2 linked regions of the Sus scrofa genome follow. The protein of the gene in region 1 binds, or shares a complex with, the protein of each later gene. Links are inferred from orthologs where the notes say so. Each region holds a gene or a part of one and is shown in the gene's direction. Other genes may lie near its edges.

Region 1 (4,509 bases):
ATAGATAAAACCATGAAAATGACTTACTGACAGGGCAGGAAACCAGCAGGGGGCGTGAGAGAGAAAAAGGTGGCCATGGGAGGAGAGAACACTTAAGCTGAGATTTTGTCTCTCCTCTCCCCACAAAACAATGTAAGTGGGTCCAGATTCTGCCCTGGCTTGAACCTCAACTGCTGCATCTGTAGAATGGGAATGTGATGGGTAGAGCAAATGAGTGATATGTAGAAAAACCTTTGGGGACAAGGGCAGTTCCCACGAGTGCTGGTGACACTGAGGGGCTGCTTACCTCCTAGGGTGCAGGCTGACGGAACTCCAAGGGGGTGGTTCCAGCCCAGCTCAGCTGCACTGCTGAAGGAAGATGAACCAGAAAACCCCAAATCAACCAACTTCACACAACAGGGCACAATTTCATCTTATGAAATCTCATAAGCTCAGGCAGGCATCACCTACCTGAAGCATCTTAGCAGTGAAAGGAAGGCTGTCATAGCAACCTATACCCATCCCTTCTTTCGTGAATGTGTCCAGAAAGGTAGGGGTAGAAGTGATAGAAGGTGTTACCATGACAACCCCTTCCCTAGACACATTACATTCTGAGAGACAATCCTAAAATGTCTTCTACCTTGGTGGGCCTGGTTCTAGGGTCATTGGAAGGCAGAGTGCCCCCATTACCATAGTACCCAGGACTTGGCTCTGCCAGTTTCTCACCTCCCTAGGGATAGCCCGCATCTTGTAACCATAACAACTACTCCTCAGCAGAGCATCTCCTCCTCTAAATAAAAACACCTGGCTGGTCCAAGGCCCTCCCACCATGGGAAAGGGGGAGATGGTTACCATGGTAATGCCAACCAGGAGGCTGGGGAGAGGGGCTGGGAAAGAGATGTTTCCCTCAGCAGTGTCCTTGGGGCCAGGCTCCTTTCTACCTGAGCGCTAGGTGAGGTTGCCATAGTAACCAAGGAGGGTAGGGGCCGAAGGACCACCGGGGACTTGGGTGACCTTAGCAACCTCCTATAGGTAGGTGCAGGGCCAGGAGAGGTGGAGCTCCAGGACCATAAAGGTGGAGGGGAAGGGAGGCTAAGGGTGTCCCCGACTGAGGAAGAGTTACCATGACAACCGCCCCGGGCCAGGAATCAGGATGGGGCCATCGGTGAAACCACCCCTGGTGGTCGCCCTTTCTCTCAAAGAGGGACGGTGATCTAGGAGAGTGGTGTTTGGGTCTGGAGAGGGCTAGAATCTTTCTTTGGGGTGAAGCCGGAGGAGGGGTACAGGAAGCGGCCCCTCCCAAAGTCCTGCGCTTCCTAAGGGGTCTGGGTCGCGTTTGCCCTCCTCCAGGCGCGCGCCCCTCCTCGCCCCTCCATGCGCGCGCCTTGGGGGTCGACCCGGGTGGGCGAGGCGCGCGCCCGACATCGTTCCCGGCACCGGCCCCCCCGGCCCCCGCCGAGCGCGCGCTCGAGGGCTGGCGCGGCCGCGCAGGCGCGCGAAGCACAGCGGGCGCGCGGGCCGGCCCCGGGGCCTCCATGATGGAGGAGCGAGCGGCCGCCGCTGCCGCCGCCGCCGCTTCCTCCAGCCGCCCACTCGGCTCCGGCGCGGGCCCGGGCCCGACGGGGGCGGCTCCGGTCTCTGCCCCCGCCCCCGGGCCCGGCCCGGCTGCCAAGGGAGGCGGCGGCGGAGGCAGCCCCGGCCCCACGGCGGGGCCGGAGCCCCTGAGCCTGCCGGGGATCCTACACTTTATCCAGCACGAGTGGGCGCGCTTCGAAGCGGAGAAGGCCCGCTGGGAGGCGGAGCGCGCCGAGTTACAGGTGAGCGCCGCGCCGAGTTACAGGTGAGCGCCGCCCAGGGACCCTCGACCCCCCCGCCCGGCCCGGCCCGGCCCGGCCTCACCCGCCGCTGCCGCCGCCGCCATCTTGGAGCAATGGCCGCCGGGACTGCCGGGGGGGGGCGGGAGGGGACCGCGACCGGCCCGCAGACGGAGTGAGGGGCCGTCCGAGGGGGGTCCTGAGGGCTCCTGGGCGGCTGGAGACGGGAGGGGGGCCCAGGGGCTGGAGGGCCCGACCGGGGCAGCCAAGAGAAAGGGCGCAGGGGACCAGAACCGGCTGGGAGTGGGAGTGGGGGTGAACGGACTGGCCGAAGGGTCCCTGAGAGAGTGGCCTCGGGGACCCGAGCGGACCCCAAGAGAACTCGGCCAAGGGTGATGAGAGGGCATGGAGGGGTCTTGTACGGGAGTGAGCAAAGAACATGCAGGGTGCTGAGGGAGTCACACTCCGTCCCCGTTGGAGGTGGAGCCCGGCGGGCCCCGGGTGGGAAGAGGGGACGTTGGGGGGACTTGGGACTCGCCGGAGTCGAGAGCAGGTCGGGGCTGGGCTCCCTTGTGAGTAGGGAGAGGAAGTCAGGGAGCTCAGGACGGGTTTGTTTCGGAGTGTTAGGACGGCGGGGACTGAAAGATGGCTCTGCCGGGACTCCGGGGAGGAGAGCGAGGTCTCGGGGGTGTCAGATGAAGGTGTGTGCCCCTTCCCTCTGAGGAGGAAACTTTGTGGAGCCTTGGCAGTGCGTCGCTACCGCCTCCCGGGAAGGGATCCCGGGGGTGGAATCATGGAGGGGGCCAGGACGTGCCCCAGGAGCCTGTGCTGGAAGAGCTTGAGAGCCGAGAAACTCTTCGGGGATGTGGGAGATGGGGGGACTCCCGCCCAGAGATGGGAGGTGTGGAAGATGTCAGGTGCAGAGCCCCGACCTGGAATGAGAGGAGGTCGGCCGTGTCCAGCGGTGGAGCTGGGGCGTGGGGTGAAGACACGAGGAATTGGCCGAATCTGGGGGTGGCGGGGAGCATTTTGTAGAGCAGGAAGGCAGCCAGAGGAAGAATCTCACAAAGATCCTGGGGTGGGGGGTAGTGTTTGTGGAAGTTTCTGGGAAAGGACTCTGGTTTGTGGAGTAGCTTGAGGGAGGGCTGTACCCCTGGGATGATGTTTGGAAGGCGCCGAGGAGCTGGGCTGGGTTTTGTGACCTTGAGAGATGTGGGTCCGTTTGCTGGGTGTCCCTAGGAGCCTGGGTATCAGAATTGTGAGGATTTTAAGGGTTCTAAGGATGTGCTGCCAGGAGTCTGAGGGGTCCTGGTCTGTGGTGTTATCAGCAGAAGTCAGCGCCTGCTTCTAGCATCTTTCCCCCTCTGATTTGCTGTTTCCTGTCTAGGAGAGGTGGGGACTGAAAGAAACACCTGGTTAGAATTTTGTCCATGGGATGAATAGAGAGAGCATCCCGCAATTCTCCCACCCCTGTAGGGATCCTGGCTCTGTGGTAGCTGAGGCTTGGTGCTGGGGGGGTTGGGTGGGAGAGAAATCCTTATGCAAGTACCCCTTGTTTTTGTGTTCCATCTCTCCTTCCAGAGCTCTTTCCCAGAGTACGTCTTTTTAGATCTTCTTAGTACCCCTTCATGTAGGCAGGGCCAGTGTCCTTGCCCTCGCTCAGCAGCTGCTATCGCAGCTGCTGTTTATTGAGCACATACTATGTGCCAGGCATTGTGTCAGGCACTTTAAATAAATCCTTGCAACCTTCTGGGAGGGTAAGTGATATTCCCCCCCTTCCCTCCCCTTTAAAGAAATCAAGCAGAAGAGGAAGTGGAGGCTTTGAGCAGGTCAGTGATTTATCTAGACTCATAGCCTGTGGGTGGCAGAGGTGGTCTGTGGGCTTTCGAGCCCATGCGTTATACTTCTCTGATGCCCAGGACAGAGGAGAAGCCTGTTCCAGGAAGTTCTGGCCTCTGCGGGAACGTCCAAGCAGTCACAGCAGACCTGGGGTTAAATCTTGGTGCTTGGTGTCTGGGACTTCACACCTGTGCAGCCTGCAGCACCCCCCAACCCACCTCCTCATCTTTGAGACAAACAAGAGAAAAGATGTGTCTGTTCCCCTCCTTAGTGGTCTTCTTGGGCTTTGGGAGAAAGTTGTGGATAGCACCCGCTTAGACGCTCCTTTGTCTAGCCTCCGGCGCCACTCACTTTGTTTTCTTTTGTTCTGTTATGTTAGCGCACATTCAAAGCGCTCAGGCATCTGTGTGCACATATTACATACATGTGAGTGAAGGGGACCCCCGTCCCTTTCCTGACCTGCTCCCTAACTCGCCTCCCCAACTGTTTTCTGTGAAAGTAGTTCAGCTCCATGTGTGTAATATATGAGATCATATCATGTGTATCATTTTGTGACCTTTTTTCCCACATAGTCATGCGTCTTGGTGTTCCTTTCATATCAGCACAGAGAGCAATACTCACTGTTTTTGAAAACTATATTCCACTGGTGTTTGTATCCCAGCTCATTTAATTGGAGCCCTCTTGATGGAATTTTAGGTTGTTTGCAGCAAATATCCTTGTATCCCCGCGTGAGTACAGCAGAAGAGACGGGTGGAGGGGGTGGAACAGGAGAAGAGGTGTGTTTATGAAGCGGGGACTGGGTCTGGCAGGTTGCCCCGCATTTACACTCGCATCAGCAGCACCTCTTTTTATACACTTTGACTTGAGCACTTATCAC
Region 2 (4,722 bases), on another chromosome or scaffold:
CTACATCACAGTTCACGGCAATGCCAGATCCTCAACCCACTGAGAGAGGCCAGGGATCAAACCTGCAGCCTCATGGTTCCTAGTCGGATTCGTTTCCACTGTGCTATGATGGGAACTTCTCTAGCTTCAAAAAAAAAAAAAAAAAAAATTATTAGAGCTCCCGTCATGGTTCAGTGGAAACAATCTGACTAGGAACCATGAGGTCATGGGTTCGATCCCTGGCCTCGCTCAGTGGGTTAAGAATCTGGGTTTACCCTGAGCTGTGGTGTAGGCTGCAGAGGAGGCTCGGATCTGGCGTTGCTATGGCTGTGGTGTAGGTTGGCAGCTATAGCTCGTATTAGACCTCTAGCCTGGGAATCTCCCTATGCTGTGGGTGCGGCCCTAAAAAGCAAGAAAAAGATTTTTTTATTTATATTTGGCCTTGCCTGTGGCATATGGACATTCCCAGGCCAAGGCTCGAACCCACACCACAGCTGTAACCAGAACCACAGCAGTGATGACACCGGCTCCTTAACGCCCGAGGAGGGAACTGTCCTTTCATTCTCTTAACAATGCCTTTCTGAAATCGAAATTTAAAACATTCGATGAAATCAAATTTATCATTGCTTTACAGCTGCATCCTTGTAAATGTTTTGGTAAAATGTAAATCACACAGAGCACACACGGAGACTATTTTAAGTGTACAGGTCACTGACGTCAAGCACGTTCACAGCGTTGTGGGGCCATCGCAGAGCTTGGTCTCCACTCCCGATGGAAACCCTGTACCCTGTGGTGTATCCCTTCTCTCTTCCTCCAGCCCCAGGAAATCTCAAGCACCTCTGCCTCCTGAACTGATCCAGTCTTGAGAGGTCATCGAAGCCGCATCACACGGTATTTGTCTCTTTGCGACTGGCTTATTTCCCTTGGCATAACGTTTTCATCCACGTTGTGGCATATAACAAAAAACAATGCCTTTTTAATTTTACGTATTTTGAATTGTGATAGCTTACACCTTAAAGCATTCAGTTGGGCAGTGCTGTACAATTATCTCCAGAATTCTTTTCACCTTCCCAAACTGAAGCTCTGTCCCCATTAAACACTCACTTCCCAGCGCCCGCCCCTGCCCCTGGCACCCGCCTGTCGCCTTTCTGTCTTCAGGACTCCAGGCACCTCACACAGGTGGGTCCAAGCACTGCTTGTCCTTTTGGGACTAGCTTATTTCGTTTAGCCACCGTCTTGGCGGTTGGTCCCTGCAATGGCCCGAGTCAGCACTGCCCTCCTACCCCCGGGCACGTCTGGACCGCATCTGGGGACCCATTCGTTCCTCCCCGACACGCGGGCGGCTGCAAGAGGCCTGAAAGATAGAATTGGAGTCTTGAGCCCAGGCCCTCGGAAGGGGAGCCGGAGGACGGAAGGCGGGGCGGGGGGGGGGGGCGACCGCAGAGCTGAAAGGTGGGGGCGCCCCAACCCCACGGCCGCCGGGCGGGCCCCGCCTGGCCCCGCCCCAGCCCCACAGGCCCCGCCCAGCACCGCGGCCTGGCGGGAGACGTAGGCCCAAGCTTCTCAGGAAGCCGGACTCGGAGTCCCAGCGGGCACCGCGGCACGCTTGCGGGCCGCTACACCACTCCGCCCCATGGCCTGCCGGGACTTGTAGTCCAGGGTCTGCGTGCGCCCCGACCCAGGGCGAACGAGGGACTCGGTGTCCCAGAGAGCTCCGCGCCGGGCCACGACACCGTGCCGCCCGGGCCGTCGCTGACGCCGCCGCCGGGCTTTCTCCGGCCGCCGCCGCCACTGCCGCTGCTTCGCGGGCTGGAGGGCCCAGGCGTCCCTGGGCGAGCGGAGGCTGCGGGTGGGAGCCTTCGTGGGCACTGCGGAGCGGGCCGGGGGAGGCCGGGATGGAGCCCCCGGAGGTGGGCGCGCTGCCGGGCTGGCCCGCGCCTGGGGCGGTTGGGGAGGGGGCTGGGCGGTGCGGGGAGTGAGGCAGGGGGAGGGCCCCGAGGGGGCCGGCGAGGAGGGCACTGGAGGCGGAGCTCGGCGGTAGGGGGACCCGGGGGGGGGCGCCGGGGGGGGGCGAGGGCACCGGGGGCGGGGTTGGGGCGGGGGTCCCGGCGGGGGTCCTGGCCGGGGTAAGGGGTCTAAAGAAGGAGCAAGGCTGCGGGTGGAAGTGTGAGGGCCGCCGAGGGATGCCCCGTGTTGGGGAGCTCCTCAGGGAGGCGTCGGGCCGTAGCGGGGCGATGAGGAGAGCGCGGCGGTGGGGGCCTTTAGCGGAGGGGCCCTGTGACTCCAGCCCGCCCCCGGGGCGGGCCGGCCCGCCGGTCCCCAGGGCGGCAGGGAGCCCCGCGTGCCTCGAACCGAGCAGGCCTGCTCTCCCTCCAGTTGCCTGAAGCGAGTGGGCCGGGCTCCGGAGCCTCCAGGCAGGATCTCGGGGCCTCCCGAGGTTGCAGCGGATGGTGGAGGGCGGCGCAGACATGGCTCACCTCAGGGGCTTTGCCAACCAGGTAAGGGTTGGCATCCGGGGAGAGGGGTGTGTGTGTTTACCGGAGCACCGACTGCAGAGGCTAAGCAAGGGCGCTTCCTCCAGGACTGTCATCCTGAGGTTTCAGAGGAGCGGTCCCTCCGAGGGCGAGCGTGGGGTGAAGGGAGGCGCGGGGGAGTCCTGCGGAGCGCGTCGTGGGCGAAGCGGGGAGCAGTCTCGAGGCGCTCAGACTTGGTGAGCGCAGGGGCGACTCAGCTTGGCCAGCTTGCCCAGTTGTGTGGGGCAGAAGCCCACAAGCTTGGCAAAATAGAGCCCCAGTGCAGGGGCAGCAGAGGCTGTGCAGAGCCCTGTGGTGGGAACAGGGCAGGGGCCGCTGGCTCTGGTGGGAATCCTGCCGAGCATGAATCTGCACCTGGAGAGACCTGCAAGGTCAGGGTCCACGCTGGGGCCGCAGCCTGGGCGGGGACACAGGCCGTGTTGTGCTGGGCAGGGGCTGTGCTGACGCAGCTCTCGAGTCTGTGCGCGGGGAGAGCAGAGCACAGGAGAGGATGAGAGGGCTGCTCCCGGGCCACAGGTGCTCCTTGGGAAGACACCCACTGCCTTTCTCTTTGGGGGACTGGGTCTTGGGATTGCCAACAGCAAAAGCCATCTGGGGGTGTCTGGCCTTGAGCGGTAACTGGCTGATTCCGGGGGACCCTCCAAAGCGCACCCTGGGTTGTGTGGCACATGGTTTGTACTTTCCTCTTGTCTGTTATTGGGAAGCAGGTGTGATCTGCAGCTGGTAGGACGTGGAGTGTGCCGCTCTGGCTCTGGTAGCCAGGTTTTCCTGTGGCCACTGCTTGGCTTTGTTTTCCTCGGCCGCCTGCTGAAAGGTGTAAGGCAGCGTCCTCGGGTGTAAGGCTGAGTCCCCAGGCTGAGTCCGCGAGGCCTGGGCGCCAGGGGAGCAGGAAGTGTGTATCCACGGGGCGGGGGAGGGGCTGGGGTCAGGATCGGCTCCACACCCAACAGGCTTCCTCGCAGAAACCTGCCACGTGCTGCCGCCGGGCAGGGCATCCTGGACTAGCCGTGCCACAGGTGGGCACTGGCACTTCTGCTGATGCTGAAGCCCGCTGGCAGGTCTTTCATTCATCTTTGACATCTCGTGTCTTGTAAATTACATGACGGAGAAGCTGGGAGAAAAACCTGGCTTCAGCTATTTTTAAGAGCTGTAGAAATGGGTCCCGCGGGTCCTGGAATAGGAAGTTGGAGCTGAGCCACCCTGTCCCTGTGTGCTGGTGGCACTAGGGGCTTGGCTTGGGTGTCCAGACCAGATGCCCAGGGAAGGGAGCACAGCCCAGAGGAGCTGAGGAAGGGACCCTGAAGGAAGGAAGCCCCTTTTGTCCTCTGGGGCGGAGAGACTTGGCCTTTGTCAGTGGCAGGAAGCCTGACAGGACATTGTTTTCTCTTGCGAGGGTTGTCACTGTGGCCCTGCGAGGCGGTCCCTGTGTGGGGCAGTGCGGTGAGCTCCCCCACGGCCCGCAGGGGGCCCTCCACTCCTGGCCTCTGCCCGGCTGGTTCCTTGTTCCTACCCTGCCCGCAGGGTCTGGCTGGCTGCAGGAAGCTCATTGGCTGCCACCCATCGTGGGGTGGTTGGGGGCCGTTGGGCACCCCTCATTTTGTGGGGCGATATGACCAGCAGACATACTGCCTGGTAGTGGCCACTGACCTCGCATGCCCAGGGCTGACCAGAGGACAAGGGTCTGGACTGCCAGCAGCCTGAGCCCTTGTCTGAACCACGCCCGTCTCTGGAAGGGGAGTGCAAGGCCAGCTCGGGAGCAGTTGTCCTTCCTTCCTTCCACCAGCTCTGGCCGCAGGTGTCCCTGTGATGTGCCTGTAGGGTCAGGGTCACAGCCAGGAGCGCTCCCGTCATGCTGTCTGCTCAGGAGACTGACCCACAGCAGTGGGGACCCAAAAAGTGTGACGTTGGGACCAGAGCTCCCCCCACTGCTGAGTCTGGAGCCCCTGGTCCAGGGGTCTGCCCAGTTCCCTCAGGAGCCGTGGAGGTCTGGGCACCCAGCTGGGTGTGCCTCTCGTCAAGCCGTTGGGGTGGAGAGTGCAGGCTGCAGTGAGAAGAGGGAGGCCTGAGGGTGGGAGGGGAACCCGGAAAGCCCGAGGAACAGTGCTGCCCGGCCTCGGTCCCACCTCCTCCAGGTCCCCTCTGAGGCCCCCTTGGAAGTAGAGGCACCGTTTCTAGGAGCCCTGGCTGGATGAGCTGGGGGTGGAGGCCC

Evidence for each region. The genes of interacting proteins can lie anywhere in the genome.
Region 2: STRN4 (region 1) and STK25 share a complex: the UniProt entries of both Homo sapiens proteins name them as parts of the core of STRIPAK complex. The link is inferred for Sus scrofa from reciprocal best matches to the Homo sapiens genes STRN4 and STK25.

Annotation. Positions count from the first base shown.
Region 1 is NC_010448.4:52,624,888-52,629,396, reverse strand, and holds the start of STRN4 (striatin-4), read left to right. Parts: upstream 1-1,486; 5' UTR 1,487-1,514; coding exon 1,515-1,796; intron 1,797-1,878; exon of another isoform or gene 1,879-1,931; intron 1,932-4,509. UniProt on the Homo sapiens protein: Calmodulin-binding scaffolding protein which is the center of the striatin-interacting phosphatase and kinase (STRIPAK) complexes.
Region 2 is NC_010457.5:140,151,330-140,156,051, reverse strand, and holds the start of STK25 (serine/threonine-protein kinase 25), read left to right. Parts: upstream 1-1,741; 5' UTR 1,742-1,828; exon of another isoform or gene 1,829-1,889; intron 1,890-2,355; 5' UTR 2,356-2,426; coding exon of another isoform or gene 2,427-2,477; 5' UTR 2,478-4,722. UniProt on the Homo sapiens protein: Oxidant stress-activated serine/threonine kinase that may play a role in the response to environmental stress.